2 linked regions of the Neodiprion lecontei genome follow. The protein of the gene in region 2 binds, or shares a complex with, the protein of the main gene of each other region. Links are inferred from orthologs where the notes say so. Each region holds a gene or a part of one and is shown on either strand. Other genes may lie near its edges.

Region 1 (9,405 bases), on a different chromosome or scaffold from region 2:
AGCATCAACCGTTTCGATATCGATTTTATCGAATGTCATTTGTCCAGACATTGGACGACTTATTGGCGGAATCGCGGTGTGGAATAAAAAATTGACTGACGATCGAGTCGTGATATCGGTCGGGTAATCTGGCGGTTTGAATTGTTAGTTTTTCGTCATTGCGGTGGAAAAAGTGTAAAAAGTGAACGCGTGTGGCACAAATTTGACATTGCGATTCGGTGTGTCGCGGTATTTGCGGTACGTAGTTGTACGGATCCACACGATTCCCGTTCATTGTTTTCAATATTCAGTTAACCTCGGAGTTATAGCGTTCCCTCGCGAAAAACGCTTGGTTGGTACCTATTTACCCGGCTTCGGCAATTAGATTCGAAACAAGGTTTCCGCATAAAAAGTGTCAAGTGTGAAAGAATTTCTCTACGTGCGGCCCTAGTCGCGTCTCGAGTCGGAAATGATCGCGTGTGTTGTGTATTGTCAGTGTACTCTTGAGGATGTGGCAAGTGGATTCCCTCGCAAAGATTTTCTGCAGAAACCGAAGAAGAGCACGTGGATGCACAGATATAGTTGCGACGCTGCACGAGTGAGTCGCATGACTTTGAAATACATAACTATCTTTTTTTTCCTTTCTCAATGCTACCAAATTGCATAACGTTCAGGTTGATAAGAATTTCCTAAACGAGGAAAATGCCTCTATTTGCTGGGTCCGTGTTTACACGAGTTGCACCAAAGAGACTTACGTCACACCCTTCACACCGTTTTCACCGCCTCTGTAGCATTCAGTTTTCCGATTTGTCTATAGTTTCGGATTTACTGTTACCGATTTTACTTCTTTCATAGATTGCCAGTGTACCTTGCCACTTTGCAAGACGCTCACTAATATACAACTGTGTGCACGATTTTAAATTGATTTTCACCTACGACGGTTGACGCTTTACTTCTATACTTCCAAGTGGATAAATTAATGCAAAGAATTTCTCGAATAATCAAACGAAATGAGTTTACGGCGCGATGTTTATTTGTCGACGACTACACCTTGTTTATAAGAGGTATTACGGAACATCAGAAATTTCACAACGAAAAGATCATATCTAAAATTTAATTCGCGACTCTTCTAAGCAATAGTTGAATGAAAATTCTAGTGGTGATGTTCAGCTGCTTCCTTCCTTCTCATCTCTGCGTATGCAGCTTTGTTTCCTGGACTGTTAGCTATAAAAGAGGAACAAAATATATAGTCTTGAATAGGTACCGAGTCTATAGATACTGTCACAATCGTTTGTCACTGCTTTTCCTACTTTTCATGCAAAGAACTGTGCTGAGCAATGAAAAAAATTGTTTTGCTTACCGAGTTTGTGAATTTGGTAGATTATGGGTAGGCTGGCGACAACGCCATAATAGTAGAATCTGAATTGCCAACAGTACTTCCAATAGAACTTGTATGGAAATTGTGCAATCTTTGCCGAAATGGTATACGGGAACTTCATGGGACGAGACACTGGAGCAGGTGGTTCTCCAGACATATTTGCTAAACAACAGACCATGAAACAATAATTATCATCTCTATTCTTTTTTTCCCAATACCGGGTTACGAACAAAAATTACATCCCGTCAGAAACTAAGAGTTCTGTGTTTTCTTACGTCAACTTTTATATTCCCCTTAAAACTAGGCGCATGATCAGGTTTTATTTCCACCATCCACAAACACGGTTTAAATCATGATGATAAAATTTTGTCGATCTACGTGACTATCATCGGTAATTTCTAGATGAAATGTGAAAACAGGAGTCAACGGATTCCGGAAATATTTACGAAGTTGAATTATGTAATATTGCAACGATTTACGTTTGGCAGGAAATTAGCACTAGCCTTGCTAAATGGACGGTATTACTTTCGTGGGAATGAGAAATATTTAGTAAGAGGATAGAGTTACTACTAGCGTATAGAATAGGGACGGAACAGGGCAGAATGTAGATCAGACGAAGCGACTTTCGAACTTTCGATCCATCGAGTGACATTGCAGGCTGATAATTGTGCGAACCTTTACTTCACCGCGAATGAGACATAAATTCGTTGTGCGACGTGAGCCGAAGGTAACCGACTGCTCAGCATTCATGATTTTTGATCACAAAACTACCCATCGAAGAAATAATCTAAGCTTATGAGTGTATCATTACCGTTCCGTGGAAATACTTTCTGCAATGAACTTGTGACAAATCAACTCGGGTCCGTCTCTCGTGCACGATGGCCGACGACTGCGGCTGCGTCCACGAGGTTACGTAAGCTGACGATATCAATCGAGTGCCGACTATCGAGAGTAGTTGAGATCCTTCAGCGATAATCGGTGTCAAACGCAGCCAAACCGTCATCATTGATTTCAAATGAAAAATGTCAACGATGTCGACGGCTCCTGACGCGCGGTTGTGTTTGTCTTAACGAGACTGAGTTTCGGGCCCAATTTTCCGCACACATGGTGTATCGTTTATGCCAAAAAATGGCCGGAATGCTCGTGCAAATGCAGGAGGCATTCACGCAGGTTCAGTATTCCCGGAGAGTTCACCCGGAGTTCATGTCGAAGTTGAAAAAATTGTACCAAAAGGTGAGCCTAGTCCAGAATTATTTCTTCAGCCATCCGAGTGGTTCTGGCTCTGCTTTAAATGCAGTTTTGCCCATAAAAATTCTGCTGTAGTACGAACCCTCGAATGTGTCGCACGTCGATTTGTCATAACTCACGAAAATACTAATCCTTTGCAGATGAGTGAGAAAGACTTTACAAGGGCATTCATATCTTGTTTGTTAATTCCATTGGGCGAGGGAGAGCATCATCCTCGTATCGAGAACGTACTTATCTTTGCCGCAAAATTTGCAGTCAGCGTAGAATCGTTTAACCATGAGACCGAGGAAGAGGAACTTTGCCCTTTCATGAATTCGTTGTTTGAGTTTTTACTAGACAATCACGATGTCGGAGATGCAGCGCTGAGGTTCCGTATGTGCTACTTTATGAATATGCTCCTCAACTCTATGGGGGACAATGCGTTTATAGATGATTTGCTGTGCGATAGAATTACTACATGTATGACTGAGCGATTACTGGATAAAGTGCCCAAAATCAGGGCTCAGGCAATTTTAGCTCTTCATCGTCTTCAAGATCCGTCAGATGAACATTGCCCTGTGATTAAGGCATTCATATTTCACCTTAACAAAGATCCACAAGCCGAAGTTCGCCGAGCAGTCTTGCTCACAATGGGAAAAAACAAACAAACACTAGCAGCTGCGCTGCGAAGAACTCGTGATATTAACGATGGTGTCAGAAAACTGGCTTTTCAATTTTTAACCAAAATTACAGTTCGATCATTGACCATCGAACAAAGAGAAAAGTTGCTGAGCGACGGACTACGCGATAGATCTGAAAAGGTCAGCAAGTATGTTAAAATGCAATTGTTACCCACCTGGCTGGAACATTACGAGGGAGATTTCATCAAATTGCTCCGAGCATTAGACGCCGAGAATGCACTGGAAATTTCTATTCTAATGCTGGATGTTTTATTGAAGTAGGTTTATTTGATGACTGGGTGTGAAACTCTACTTAATTGCCTGTTCCAATGAAAAATATTATCGTATCATCCGGTTTTTCGTTTCCAGACTTACTCCAGTGCGCAACATCATTCAACATGTGCCTGTCGATCTTGACACAAAATTAATTCCATTTGAAAAATTAACAAGCGAAAGCGTAATTTATTGGCGGTGCGTGATTACACACCTGCAGCGTGAGGGCTGTCAAGATGAGATTGATAAAATATTGCCTGAACTTTCCAAATTTTGTGAGTACATCAGAGATTTCATGAATCTGATGAAACATGATCAGCGTGAAACTTGGGAACAGAACACGCTTCGTTTCATTCTTCTGCAGTTGTTTGAAATCACAAAAATTTGCGATCTACATGACGAGGTTGGCAGGGAAAACTTGAAGGAATTGATAGTAGATACACTAAAGTCAGATCATGATTCTGAAGCTCTTATCGATAGTATTGTTCAACAGTGTGTAGCTATTGTGCCAGATACCGAAAGTAGATTGAATTTATTGGCCAATGTGATAAGTGAACTGCGAATGCCATTGACAACCGAGGTTGTACCGTTAACCGAGGCTGAAAAACACGAGAAAGATATGAAGGTATCATTTTGTGAAAATTTGAGGATTCACATTTGTTGCGATCACTACTATAACCTCAAGTTGTATACTCATTGTTTCAGAAAGCAAAATTGAAAGTAGAGTTACTTCAAGTTCAAGAGTATCAGTATGTGGCGATCCAAAGTAAAAATTTTTTGCGGGCAGAGGAATTAAAAACCAAAATTGAATTTCTGAAAGCTGCCATTGAGGATCTTGGCACAGATCAGGTTGTGGAAGAGGTGCGGGAAGAATATGAAATGAAAAGTGACAAAAAAACACTGACAAAGTGCTTGCAAATCATGTTCTCCATGACGCAAAGCGTAAAGACATTGTGTCCGATGTTGAGAAGCCTTCTGATGGATATGGTTCTTCCCAATCTCGATGTAGGTTTATAGAAATGCTGTGAAGATATTTGAAAAACTTTTATTGCAATTTGGATAAACTAGATTTTTCATACTTCTAGCATTCAGTGTGCAGCGTCATAATCGGAGCACTGAAGGCAACTACAGTTTGTTGTCTCCTGGATGAGGATTTGGCCAAAAAATACATACCCGTTTTCTTCCTGCAATTTAGTGTCGAAAATGACGACATTTGGCTCGCCGCACTCAAGGGCATATTTGATTTATTGGTACTCTACGGTCTTGAGCGTCTGGGTATGGCTCCAGATCCAGAAACACCAGAAGACACTGGTCAAGCTAACAAAAGTAGGAGTAACAGGACTGTCAGACTGTATAGTCAGTCGGAAGATACAGATACATTGCTCAGTACTCCGCGACCTTCCCTGAATTGCGAAAATAGAAATATCATCAATATCCTCACAGGGTTATTGGATAATGCCGTAAGCTCAGCACCCGATCAATTTACCGTTCGAGCGAATTTCATGACACTTTTTATTCCTGCAACAATCTCGATATTTTGCTTTCTGCAGAACCGGGACCTACGGACAATTGCGGTTGAAGGTCTTTGCAAGCTTTTACTACACCGAAGAATCTCCAGTCCTTCTTTGGTCGCGCGACTCATTATTTTATGGCACAATCCTGTGACTGATAACGACTCTTATCTGCGCCAGTGTTTGAGTTATTTTTTCAACCATTTTGGCGCCGTTGTACCAGATAGCCAAGAAATGCTGGAACGCTCCTTTCTCGTGACGCTGAAAATGCTGGCCAATGCTCCAGACACCAGTCCGTTACACGAGATTGAACCTCTCAAGGTTGCGCAACTTATTTTGCACCTTACGAAAACTGAAGCTCAGGATCGTCTTCTAGGCTATTGCGCCCATAATAATTTGGCCCTTGCTATAATTGCCGAGGCTCTCAACTCTGACAGTTGTATAGATCCCAAACTACTTATTCGAAGCTTGAGGTATTTGCATATTCATTTGGAGGATGATTCTATGAGAAAATGCCTTCAAGAGTCTGTCAAAAGACTTTCAGAACAGGTTAATAAAAATTATCCTTATACAAGCAGATGTATTGATTATGGAGAATATTGGTATATTTCTTACTTTCAATCCTAATTACAGGTAGAACCTTCCGAAAAACGTATAACTAACACGTTGTCGCATTTCAAGCGCAATTTGGACAATCAAACCAAATTCGGAGCAGAAAATGGGCCAATAACAGAAGAAGAGCTAATGATCGAAGAAGAACCAATGATCGAAGAAGAGCTTGATGCGTGTTAGAAGTGACTTTTGCCTGCTCCCTCGTGCCTTGTTAAAGACGATGAATCGCGTTCTAATTCGATCAGTATATCAACATCTGCTGGATTTCCCTTCGTGAGAAGCTCGGGTTAGGTGATAATTGTACTGAATTCGTGATGGCATTTTTTTGGTATTCTAAACCATGATGAACGAAACACAAAAGTGGCTCAATTCATAATTTTTCTCATATTAAATATCATCACATTAATTTTTAATCATCACAACAATTTGTCATGTGTATCATATGTATTGTGAAATTTCTGGTGAATTTTTTTAAACACGGGTCGTACTCGCTAATCGCTATCTACCACGCGTGTTTTCCCGTTTTGATTGATCTCCGTTTTGCGGTAATTAATTTAAGTCAGAAATAATAAATCAATCGAAACAAATCAGTCGTATGGTTCGTGAAAAGTCTCGAGTTCATTTTTGTAGAGCTATAACGTAATAGAATTTCCGATTGACCGTAAATCTGCTCTGTTCTTTCTTTCATCGTTATATGCTATTTACTCGCTCGCTATGTGTCTTTATTCGGCAACGAAAGATTAGAAAAAAAGTCCATTGTCGCCACGACAGCAGAGTTTCGATTTCTCGCTGTCGGGCGGTTTTTTTCTTCACCTCCACCAAGTTGAAAACTTGAAAACCACTCGAGCTTTGTACCCTCCACTACGGATACGTGCATTTGGCACGCTTTCCGGCAGCTCAACGCCACTGGGTGGTTAGTGCAGCTGGCGGAATCGATATTCATCCGTAAAACCTTTCAAATAAACGAGGACATTAGGCAACGCGGATCCCTTTGCGATCCTCTCGCGATTCGAAGACAATCGACGCCAGTGGTACCTTCAACTTGATCGTTCAATTCTCAATTTTTATTTATGGTCCTAGTAGCCCCTCTCACCCTTCGTTTTTCACCGATTATTCAGAGTAAAATCCATCTGCTCCTTTTTCTTTTGCTCTATTCTCGTTTCAAGTCACTCTAGTGTAAATTTGTACGTAGTATTCGGATTCGATAAATTTCAGACGCTCTCCCGACTTTACATATATCTTTTATCTAGCAGTCACTTCCGGACTTACGCAAACTCCGTTCAAACCTATCAATCGCAATAGAATATTGGGTAGTAAAAGGTATCGCGAAACGCGGATGAAAGTTTGGGGGAAGGTTTAGAAATGACAAGACAAGAGTCGTTGTTCTTCGTCCGGACTGTTGCTGGCGTGGCTCGATTGGTATCGAGGTGAACCATTTTCTTCGCTTTTTTCATTGCCCCGTTGTTGTTTTATCGGTCCTGACATCGACGGTAAATTTCAAGTTTCGAGTGTCCGAAGCAGCACGCCTGATTGGCCAAATCGATTGTTACACTCGACTGATTATCCATCCCCTGTGACTGTGTTCTACCCAGGTTTCGATATACTCACCGAGTGGTGGTCCTCGGCGTCGTCGTCACACAGACGAAGATGCTGCCCACTGGGTAGATATATGCCTAATGGTTTATAGATCGAGTAATTATCCTCGGAAGGATGATCGTGCGAATACGCCGCGGCGTCGAGGCCCCAACGTTTATCCTACGACGGATTCGAGTCACCCCCGGTTCGTTCAAACTAGCTCGCAATTTGGCCCCTGCGATTGGTCCAATTTGCTTCTAAAAATTACACAATTTAGTTCTCAACACTCCATTTTACCTAATTTCAGAATAAACTCTCGTCCTTTTTCATTCAGCTGGCTGTTGCGGCCTCGGTGATAAATAATTGCGTGGGTTCAGCCGTTGTCCAAACCCATCGCCGGTACGCGTCTATCCCGATTCCTTGTGTCTCGACTTGCTGGCACCGTGGCTATTTCCTTATTTATAGTCGATAACTTTCTGTATTGTATCCGATACAATCAACGGTATAAATATTTGCTCTATCGAATTGCCGCATCTTTGGGGAAGATCGCAGTGTCAGCGAGTGCAAAAACAGGAAGAATCCCGCCGATAATTCTCAAGAACACTAAATTTGATAGGCAATGCTTTTCATTTAACGCATGCCCGCGAAGGAATCTTTGTACTATATTTTTTTGCGGTGGATTGATGGATGGAGGAGCTTTCATATCGTCCCACCCCGCGGTCACTCTGACGGGGATGCGTTGTCGTTATTACTTCATTTTATCCCCCACGGCGACCTATTGCTTTTGTTTATGCATCCAATATTTGTCGGAAAACTTTCAACGGATCTCTGATACAACCGTTAGCCAGAGACGTCGATCGTTCGTTTCTCTCTCATTGATTAGACAGGATCTTTTTCAAGTAAGAGGTAGCAAGAGTTGAAACTGCAATGGAGAAATACCGACATGCAGCAGTCAGCGCGTTCATTCAATCGTACATTGTGCAATTTGGGGACAGGCAAACGGGCTATTTCTACCTAGGGTCATACGATGGCGCAGAAGTCGGAGTCGAGTGTAACACCGTGTTTTTTTTTTTTTCAAGAAGTGCATGTGGGGCTAAAATAAAATGATTACGGTTCATTTTTGATTTCACTCATACGAATTAATTGTAAGAACAACGATTGATAAACAAAATTATTCGGTGTTGATTTATTGCTCGTTACTTCGCGAGGGCGATAATGACGTCCACGCTCGAAATGAACAATTTCCCATTCACCCAACATGCGTGAAAATAGGACTTATTTCATGCAGGTGTTGATAAAAGTCCGATAATTACAATCCGTCAGCCTAAAAAGTCAAATCCCTGTCTTGAGTTATTTGGTAAGATGGCATTTAACGAGGGGCACTAGAGAAAGATAGATAGATAATTCTCATAGGTTCGTTTATTTATTTTATTTTTATCGTAAAATTATTACCCACTGCATTATTTTATTTGTTCGATGGTAATTAGTAGGAAATTAACGTCGTTCGATTTGTTGAAATTTTGAACCCTTTCGATAGATACATAGGAACGACCAGAAAAAGAAACGTGTGGATATAGGAAGACCATACTATACATTCTGCCCGGGAAATTAATGACATTGATAACATTTTTTTATCAGGATAAAATATGAATATGTATATCTTATTAGCACTTCCCGCATTACTCTTGTTACGTATTTTTAATTGCCTGAGGTCAATGACAACTTGTCCGGTGTGTGTGTTTATATGCCTGTGTATTCAGGCCGGTTGGTCATCGTGGACGGACTCGCTCGACCGAGTTCAAAAGCTGCTCGTTAATTTCTGAAAATGACGAATCACTCACTCGACGTGACACACAAGTGTCGTTAGTTGCTCATCGTCCCACAGGATTTCTTTTACTTTTTCTTCTTTTTGTGTTCATCTCGCATCGGTTCAACTCCCGCACGAGCGGCTCTGAGAAGTATATATATATGTATATACCTGTAAAGCTCGCGTTGGGTATTACCGGGGAATTCTTGCCTAGATTAGATTTATTTCAACACCTGTCCGCATGTTTCACTTTTACCTTTCATCGTCGATGCATGCATTCGTACGTACCCACGTGCTCGAGAACGAGGATATACGTTTAACTGGTCCTCTATTATCGGATACGCGGGTAATGCTTTATACTTC
Region 2 (9,701 bases):
AGTTTCTTTCGCTTCCCTTGCGTGACAGCAAATTCTGACCGATAACGTTGGTCGGTAAATCTGCGTAAAAATGTTCATTTATGTTGTTTCGTATCCGGTTCTTCTTATCCGAGCGGGGTACCCGAAACCTTCAAGTGTCTTTAACGCCAGTGCCTTCTTTCGATATTAGGATCCCGGTTTGAGTAGTAAATACCTGTAAGTATAAGGGCCAAATATTCTAAGCCCAATGAGTATAAGCTCGTGTCATTAAAAAGTTTACGTTACTGTGTATGGATATACTTATTGTTAGTCAACTAAAATTTAAATTCTGCATCTATACACGGAGATTTACAGGAAGTGCTATTCGTATGCGGCTTTCAAATGATTGAACCGAAAGTGTAATCAGTAATTGGTCTACGGACGTCATTGGCTATGATTTTCTTTTTTCTCTTTTTTTCTACATCAATATTATTATTAAAGCGCTCGTTATAGTCAATCGCACCAAAAGATATAGTTAAGAGTATTAGCTGCGTAGTAGATTCTTGCCATTATGGAAATAACTGATTACCGGCAAATGTCGTCTCCTATTATTCCTAACAGTATTTATTGACTTGACGGTGTTTCACCACTTTGCAATAATACCAGGAATATTTGAATCGTTTTAAGCAACTAACGAGCTAATTCACGTATAAGTATACATATATGCATATTGTTGAATGTAATCATTTATAATAAAATACCTCGTCTGAGATACAGCTGCTTATTTTCTCCATACGGCTGCATTCTAGTTTATTAATCGGAACCGACTGAAGCAAAAATTAAACAACTACCATTGGACGCATGCGTAACATAAAATACTGTTTAGAAATACGCATGCATTACACACGTTACATCAAAAAACGAAGCTGTTATAAGAGAAAATATATATCGGCGTGAGAGCAGTTGACAGCGGCAGATTTGAATTCGATTTGTGATAGCAGACTTTTTTTTTGACGTAAATCCGATGAACCGCTTCAACGACAATTGTGAGGTAAGCGGTTCGACCAATCACAACAGCGCGCGAAATAGGGGTGCCCGAAAATCTATAGTGATCGCAGAGTGATCGGTAGTACTCGGCGAACTATAGCCGAGCAAACACGCCGAATTTCGCATCGCGATAACTTGGCCAAATACCGAGGAGGAAGCGACTGCGAAGTTCCCTGCATTGACATTTAATAGCGTTGTCATATAACCGTGTTCACGTAATTATAATCAGATTTTCATATTAAACTATAGAATGATACGTTTCAATTTTTTATTTTTACTCTTTATTTTTTTTTTCAATTTCATATCTACAATTTAGATTTCTGTACGAAAAGCAGTCATAGAACCATCGTTTATCATGAAACTCAACACTACGTGTTGTAGAGATCTATTCTAATTTTTCTCGGACATTCAACCCATCACTGACTGATAATTATTGGTGAAAATATTTGATTCGCAAGATTTCACATACTCTGTTAATGAGATTTAACTATGTATGTACATATAATACATACCTGTTTAATGTATCTTGGATGGTAAAGAATTTCGATAAGCAAAGAAATAGCAATGTAAATAAGAGACATTTTTCAGGTATAATACAGTTTTCCAAAAAATTCTAAGAAACCTGTGCGCCGCAGTGAAAAGAAAATGTTACACGACGAAATCGGTTCTGGTATAAAATTTAAAATATTCAGAATATTTACATAATATACAGGATCTGCTATTCATGAAAGCATCTTAAAGCCCCGCTGACCCGGTGTGTCATATATACAGAAATTTGCAGGTGATTGGAGCCCGTTCATGATCCACAAGAAGCCTGTCTCGACGTGTAAGTGATTTCATTGGCCGGATTTAACGGTACTGGCCAATGAAATCATCGGCCTTTATTCAACGTTGGATATTATCTTAGAGCATATAATACTTTATATGTTCTAAGGATATTGTGATTAAGTATATTTCCAAATCAAATCGATCTTATAATTCACTTTGTACAGTCGGAACTTGAATCTATAGCATTATTCACACAAATTTCTGGATGATGGTCGAACAGGTGGGAGGAAAAAGTTTGATCAAAAATCAAAAATCACGGGAATTATGCCATTAATTACGTAAGACTCAACATCTCGAATTTTTGTCTATAAACAACCGATACGAAAGTAGATTTAATGGTATAATAACTACGAAACCAGTTGTCTATTTTCCTTCTTCTTTCAAAACCTGGTTTTTTGTTACTTGATCCGACGTCAGTAAATGCTGTTCGGGCGTATCCTCTAATACACCGAGCCCGGAAAAATGAAATTTTTTTTCAATATAATAAACACACAAAGCAAGTTTCTGACTAGGACTCCAATTATTAGATTTCTCGGATTCGTCGGATTCAATTTTTTCCAGCACTTGTTCAACACGTGAACTGTTGAATAAAAAAAATAATTAATTTTGACAGTGAAGAAAGATACAAAGTTTGAATTTTTCTTAATTCTAATCACGAAAAAACATCGTCTTACCTTTTGTAGAGTAGAATATGAACATTATTCAGAATATCTTCGTTGGTATAATTTCTTTCTATTAAATAAAAATATGTATCCACCACGTGAATAAATGGTGCATGAAGCCACATTGAATTCTTCTGTAGGGACCGGTGAATAGAAGCTTGAGAGGCGCCTGTGTTTTTACTCAAAAATTGTAACAAGTCTGTACCTTTAGCTCGTACAAGTCCCTCTTCAAGTTGTCTTCAAAAATGAAATAAAAAAGCAGAGAAATAAAGAATTCTTTTTATATTAAGAATAACGGAGTAAACTTTGATAGTGAAAAAGTGATGAAGAACGAATTATTTCACTAACCTATTGAAATAAACGGAACTAGAGCTAAGCGTAAAAAGGCTGATGCTCTTCACATTATGCTCTTTCATGAACTGTAAACGATCTTTTGCTTTTCGTAAATATAGAATTAAGAGCAATAAGCGTTGATGATCCAAAAAACCTCTTAATTCCGGTATGCTCTGTATCTCTTTCAGTCTAGATTCTATGGTTTCCTTCGAGAGCAATAATATAGTAGGATATACTTTTAGCGCAGATTCTGTCACACCGTGTTTTTTAAGAATCTCTAACCTTGCAGGGATCAGGTCTGCCTTTACGTCCAAAAGTTTTGGATTTTTAATTAACAAAGGCTTCATATCACTGCCAGCAACTTGTTTATACGTCGTCAGTAACTGCTTGATATTTGTTGCGTCTGCACGAAGTAGAAAATTAGCTTGCTTTATCTATGGAAAACATAAATATAATTATTTACTATAAACAATTACTAATGATACCCGAAAAATAATTCAAAATTGACGTTACCTTAGCTTTAGAAAATTCGAGTTCATTCTCTAGACAGTCGATTACTTCTTCGATCGATCTTATAGAGAAATAACGAAACTTTTGTATAACTGCTGTTAATTTACTCAATTCCTTTTCAGTGTACTCCAGCCGCCACTTGAGATAATGCTCTAGGCAAATGGAGCGATATGTGTGAATAGAATTACTTTTTTTTAGTGAATCTAAGCATGGAACATCTGGCGGTGGTTTATTGAGAACACTGAAAATATTTTTCGCAATGTCAACATCAGCCGGTAGCAGATTCCAGTCCTGAAATTGTTGAAGACTGTATTCACAGCCTGTCATAAAACTGGAATACACAAGACTGAGGGTGAGAACTTCTGATATAACAGACATTAATAGTTAATAGTTTAAGGTATTTACTCGCGTTATCAAGTGATTCGAATGAAGTCATAATGAAAGTTGCATATTGTCACATTCTCAAGTATTTACTTACGGTTTTAATATGTTTGCTAATAATTTTGTGCAACCCAATTCTTGAAAGTAAGTTATTCTTCGCTCCAAAGTGGATGCTTTGAGAGATATTACTCCTATAATGTCCTTCACTTCGTTGCCAATTCCATATTTCTGTGTGTGGTATTTGCCTTTTTAATATGAATCAATATACGGTACTTATCGTCTTTTTATTTATTAATCTTGTCGCTCATACTCACCAAGCAAAGTGCGTAGGTTTCGGCGATTTGTTCGTTTGGAACCATGCGCAAGAGTTGATTTGCCTTTAAATAATGCCGTGCTTCTCTTGTGTCAATTTTCAATAACTTAACCAAAAATTTCATCTTTTCTACTGTGGCATTAGTTGTTGAATTATTGCATTGATTTTCTATCGTTGCTGAGATCTGTGTCATCTTTGTCACATGGAAGATAGTCGTTTTTAAACACTGTTGATTATTTGTAAGCCAATTTTTCAAAGTAAATCTCAGCATGATTTTATTTTCATCTCTGAATCTATTCCATCCGTGATTTAATGCCGCACCGGTGTTACGCTTGATACTTCAGGTATCGTTCTTTCGTGATGCCCTCGAGTAACCATATTCGGCGGGCCAAGTATTGGTCGGTAATTCAGACGTTCCCTGTGTTCGACGGTGAACGGAGACGTGATTGGAGTATTTTGTCCAATTTCGTCGACAAAGACATGTCTCTTTCTAACGCATCAATGGTAAGGAGCGTACTTCACGGTGAAGTTCTTACAAGCTCAAGTACTCTGAAGGTGAGTGCAGTTAAGCGGAAAACAGTGTAGACAACTCTGCAGACCCAAACATACATTGTTGTCGGCTATTTGAGCAGCGATAACCGGCAGTGTGATGTTGGCGTCACTAGATTCAAAATTCCGCCGTTACATCAATTGCGAACTAAGAACGCCATCAGTAACGCGTGTATCAACAACGTGTGAAATGTCAGTGAAACTCTGAGTAAATAATTCTATTCTAAAATGCGGAGCGCCATGCCCGAATTTGTGATACCGTCCGACAAGGATCAACTTCTTCAGACCCAGCCGGGAAAATACTCCGTTAGAAATGTATATCCGCTTCGGGACATACAAAACATTCTTGCTGGTATGTTATCATTATATTTTAGTCAAATTCCACTATTAAATATTCATTCCGGGTTTTGGTTTTTTTTCTGTCTTGTTTGTTGCTGTAATTTTGTGATAATTCTATTACTTGATAGTCCACCGCTGTAATTACTATTTCAGATACAAATGCTATCCTGCAGGAGGAGGGGCCCAGCTTCTTGCTCGAACACTTCGACAAATTCTTCTCTGTTCTCGTGCACGGCTCAAATTTAAAAATACCTGTTCACCTTTTAGCAGTTGATCGAATCCACAAATGTAAGTATTTCAACTTTCACAACTTTTACACAACAAAACATAATTCTTTACATGTTTTACTTGTTACTTTTCAGGCCTTAAAATGTTTACAAACGAATTAGAAAAGCAGTACGACAGAGGAAGAGAACCAGCGGCAGAAGATAAACCACAACTGCTTACCATCACCAATATGCTCGCTTACCTGTTGTCTAGTTTAATTCGTCACATCGAGATTGTTGTGTCTGAAGAATCTGCTGGCGGAAGTTCAAAGGTGAAAAACGATTTCTACAATTTCAAAACGTTCTCACAAAAACATTATTATAAAAACAGTAAGGGTAAAATATGAAATAGTACTCTGGTTTGTTGTCTGATTATAAAAAACTATTTAAATGTAGCAGCAACCCACAGTACCACAAACATAGCAACGATTTCTTTCAAGAAACTTGAAATCACAAAATTTAAACGTAATAGGTTAAAATTTCTTTTCTTAATCTTTATATTAATAAATCATAATACAAAGAAGCCACAAGATTATTAATTCTGCTTGTAAACCCTGATGTGTAGAACATGGAAATGACTCAAAATTTAGTCTCTTTTATTTTCGTTATTATTTTAGTTATTTAGCAATTAATATATCGTTCACCTTGATTATCTTCCAAAGAAGCGTTAGACGTCATTTTATTAAGTTAGGCAATTTACAAATGACTGCTATGTTTTATATCTTGCATAAGTTTTTGTTTTTATGTAATCTGCATCTACATCCAATCGCTCAGTTATTGTGTTTTTAATCTCTTGTTTGTCTTTGAAATTTTGCTTTAGCAACGGAAGAAAGTATCATCGAAAACGGATTGGGAACTCAAGTGGTATGATCAAATCGATGAAATTTTGGTACAGATATATCACTGGATACAATTGCCACTTGAAAAACTTTGGCAACCGCCAATAGCTGATGGGAGTTTTATCAAGTTAGTATTTCTTAGTCACAGGTTTATTTGGAAACTCCGAAAAAAATGAAAACTCTAAGCATGTCTTGTTAGAGAACCAATTGTATATTCTAAAATCTTTTATTGTCTAGGTGCATTTCAGAAATATGCTACAGGGTTCTAGAAAGATGCAAAAATGTCAAAGACAAATCTGTGCGGGAATCAATCTTCCAAGTGAGTTTTCATGGACAATATACAATTAATTCAATGCTTAAAGAACCTGTAAACCAGGTATTCACTGTTACTGAATATATTCTGAAAGTTATGGAGTCTTTGGCATAACATAGAAATATTTCAATCACTTACCCCTACTTTATTAAATGCTCATTATATCTTTGACGAATTGCTGAAAATATTTTTTTTCAATTTTCTACCAGCTACAGTGAATAATGAGTTTCGTAAAGTCTATTGAAAAAATAAGCTCTTATGAAATTTTGTATAGAAACTCTAGATTTGCAGGTTTAATTTTCTCTGCTATACCTACTATTTGAAAATTTTAAATCTGATTCCAGTTCTGAATACTAATTATCACTGGCAATGTCTAATCTCATTTATTTCAGATACTGGGGACTCTAGTAAAGCGGTACAACCATAGTATATCCTTTGTAATAAAAGTAGTTCAGGTTAGTAGCCTAAAGAAAATTCTTTACCTCAAGTTAACTAGAAGTATGCAGTTAATCCTGATGAAAAAATGTTTCCTCGGAATTAGTTGGTCAAAATGTGCGATGGACTAGCAGTGTATTTGGCAACTGGTATAATAGAAGTTATTGAACAAACCAAATGCACCGGTATCATTAAGGAGATACTGCGTGAAGTTGACCGAGCAACCCCAGAGGAAGGGGGGACGCGTAACATTGCGACTTTCCTTGACGCAATTGCTTCGTCAAAACCAAACCTCATATTACCAGCTGTTAGCAACTTGACTGACCATCTTGCAAATGAGGTATAACAGAGATCAGTGTAAATGATTGGTGAATTTTCTATGTTCAGATTTCGTGCAACACTTTCTTTGCTTTATAGTGCTACCTAATGAGAAACTGTGTGATTGGTATACTGGGAACGATAGTGAAAGAGATTCTAACGTCTGAAGATCTATCTGAAGATCAGAAGACAACACGAGACGAGTGTTTGGAGAACCTTATGGATCATTTGTTGGACACAAACGCGTTTGTTAGATCCAAGACTCTTCAGGTCTGGCAATATCTTTGCACAGAAGGTGCCGTGCCCTTAGTAAATCAAAACGCTCTTCTTACGGCGGTAATTCACCGATTAAATGATAAAAACGCGATTGTTCGCAAATATGCTTTTCAATTACTCAGAACTTTGTTGCAGTGCAATCCATTTGCTGGAAAAGTAAGTTTCTCTTGTCTTCTGTCTTCCATTGCCTAACATAACACTGATTTTGATAGATGATCTAATCATTACTTTACTTGTATTAATATTCGTTCTTTCCAGTTCAACTTAGACAAGTTGACACAGCAGTTGGCAGATGCAAAGAAAAAACTCAAGACTCTGAGAATAAGATTTGCAAGTATTAGTGAACCAGGAGCGAAGATTAGAGTAGACATTTGGAATGCGCTTGCCCCAAGCATCCAAAGTGCTATATCAAACATATGTGTCGAAGGTAATACCCTATCAAATGTATTTTTCTGGCCCTTTATAAAGGTGGCTAATCTTACAGAGCACATGGAATGCGAGGAGGATATTCTTTCTGAACTGGATTCTCGCTTTGAAAATTTGAGACAGCTACTTTTTCAAGAAAAAATCCGCGAAGCACTGGAACAGCTAATGAGTTTAAGTGCAAAATTGCCAGAAAGTTTTCCCATCGATACTATGACCCCTGAAAACAAAGAAGAGTTCCTAATGTCTGTACTGCACAAAGTATTCATAGATTCGCAAGAAGTTCAAATAGTTACAGAAAATCAAGGGAGTGGCGATATTGATCAACAAATGAAGGAATATGAGAAAGAGAAGGAAACGAGAAAAGAAGATTACGCAACTCAAGCAAGATTGGTGGAGTATATTAAGGTAAAGTACATAAATATAGACAATTAATATGCAAACACCATGTAAATAATTGGATGAGGAAACTTACCAGCTTCTCCATTTTAGAACTGTTTAATCTTCGCTACTGAGCTTTCTAAGGCGATACCTGTAGCAGAAATACGATTGTCCTCGATCTCATCGAGTGATGCCATAGAAGCTTGCAGTTTTCTAGGCATTGCATGTCAGTTTAAAGTTGAAGGAGCTAAAGATGCTATGCGCAAGGCACTTCGCCAGGTAGAATATTTTAAATTTTGCTCACTGAAGTACATTATACATATACATATATAGTAGAGATATTCGCTTATTATAATATTTACAATCATTTGAAAAACTAGGTTTACAGTTCTGATGTATCAGTTTGTGAAAATCTGGCTGAAGTATACACGGAGTTATACATCAGAGATAGTGAACAGTATACCTCGGAAAGGCACAAGGCATTAGTTATTGCTAAAGCACTTATTAAAATGGTGAAGAGTCTGGAACCTGGTGAAAGTCCTGCTCTCACAAAACTCATTACGCTATGGCGAAAAAAAGAAGTAATAAGTGCAGAGGTGTTTCGGGTAAGTACAGTGAGACAAGCTTAGGATTCATTTTCATTATGGACCTGAGAGCTTAATTACTGTTTGTATTATTTGGAAAAGGTATTGTGGGAAAGGTTTTCTCTCAAGTTAACCGACACCTTGCCAGAAGAGAGTCGAGCGGCACTTATGCTCTTAACTATGGCATCTACAACTGAGTCCGCAGTTGTTACGGGTAACTTTGACATTCTTGTCAGTGTGGGCCTTGGCCCAAGGGCAGAAACCGACCTTCTACTCGCTAGAGATACTTGTCGTGCAATGACCAAAGTGGCAGTGCAAAATCCTGACCCATTAAAATGCCCATCGAGGTAAATCATTCAATTTAGTTAGCCCTTTGGTCAACGTACCTTTCGACTGACTCCCTAATTCTCTATCGAACCCATTTACATTTCATAGGCTTCCCAATGAGCACGAAGTGTTTGAAAAAATTCTACTTCTGTTGGTGAATAAATTTCAAGACATTGACGAAACTTGCTATACCACATTCTCAACGGAAGCAATCAATGCTATTTATCACGTAAGATTTTAATCTTGATTCCTTAATTCGTAATTTTTTTCCCTTTGCTCGAATTTTCAGGTATTGATAAATTATACAATTGATTATCACGTATTTTTCGTTCTTTCATGCTGCCTTTTTGCGCGGAATGATAACGTTTTGGGTTAAATAATGAAAATCTTGTATATTTCGATGAAGTAAAACACATTACGTACTTGATTTGCAGTTAGCAGACCAACCAGATTTATTGATGAAACAAATGCTCAGCCAGTTGGTGAAAAATTTTCAATTGGCAAATGGTACAATTCACAGAAGAAACATGCCTTCTGCACAACTTGCAAACCTATTACACGTTGTTGGCCACATTGCTATTAGGCAAATGATACATTTGGACATGCATGTATACAAGGA

Evidence for each region.
Region 1: condensin complex subunit 1 (region 2) and condensin complex subunit 3 share a complex: the UniProt entries of both Homo sapiens proteins name them as parts of the condensin complex. The link is inferred for Neodiprion lecontei from reciprocal best matches to the Homo sapiens genes NCAPD2 and NCAPG.

Annotation. Positions count from the first base shown.
Region 1 is NC_060266.1:609,318-618,722, forward strand, and holds condensin complex subunit 3, read left to right. Parts: upstream 1-2,361; 5' UTR 2,362-2,461; coding exon 2,462-2,590; intron 2,591-2,745; coding exon 2,746-3,542; intron 3,543-3,633; coding exon 3,634-4,162; intron 4,163-4,242; coding exon 4,243-4,542; intron 4,543-4,622; coding exon 4,623-4,997; intron 4,998-5,087; coding exon 5,088-5,597; intron 5,598-5,681; coding exon 5,682-5,840; 3' UTR 5,841-6,326; downstream 6,327-9,405. Other genes in the region: uncharacterized protein LOC107216909, read right to left, coding at 1,133-1,203, 1,340-1,514. UniProt on the Homo sapiens protein: Regulatory subunit of the condensin complex, a complex required for conversion of interphase chromatin into mitotic-like condense chromosomes.
Region 2 is NC_060261.1:30,815,879-30,825,579, reverse strand, and holds the start of condensin complex subunit 1, read left to right. Parts: upstream 1-4,548; 5' UTR 4,549-4,809; coding exon 4,810-4,933; intron 4,934-5,073; coding exon 5,074-5,208; intron 5,209-5,282; coding exon 5,283-5,458; intron 5,459-6,006; coding exon 6,007-6,152; intron 6,153-6,262; coding exon 6,263-6,344; intron 6,345-6,730; coding exon 6,731-6,793; intron 6,794-6,879; coding exon 6,880-7,113; intron 7,114-7,190; coding exon 7,191-7,523; intron 7,524-7,625; coding exon 7,626-7,794; intron 7,795-7,851; coding exon 7,852-8,198; intron 8,199-8,282; coding exon 8,283-8,450; intron 8,451-8,551; coding exon 8,552-8,776; intron 8,777-8,857; coding exon 8,858-9,102; intron 9,103-9,190; coding exon 9,191-9,311; intron 9,312-9,516; coding exon 9,517-9,701. Other genes in the region: transcription termination factor 5, mitochondrial, read right to left, coding at 2,197-2,413, 2,508-2,732, 2,844-3,262, 3,342-3,669, 3,817-3,947, 4,034-4,303. UniProt on the Homo sapiens protein: Regulatory subunit of the condensin complex, a complex required for conversion of interphase chromatin into mitotic-like condense chromosomes.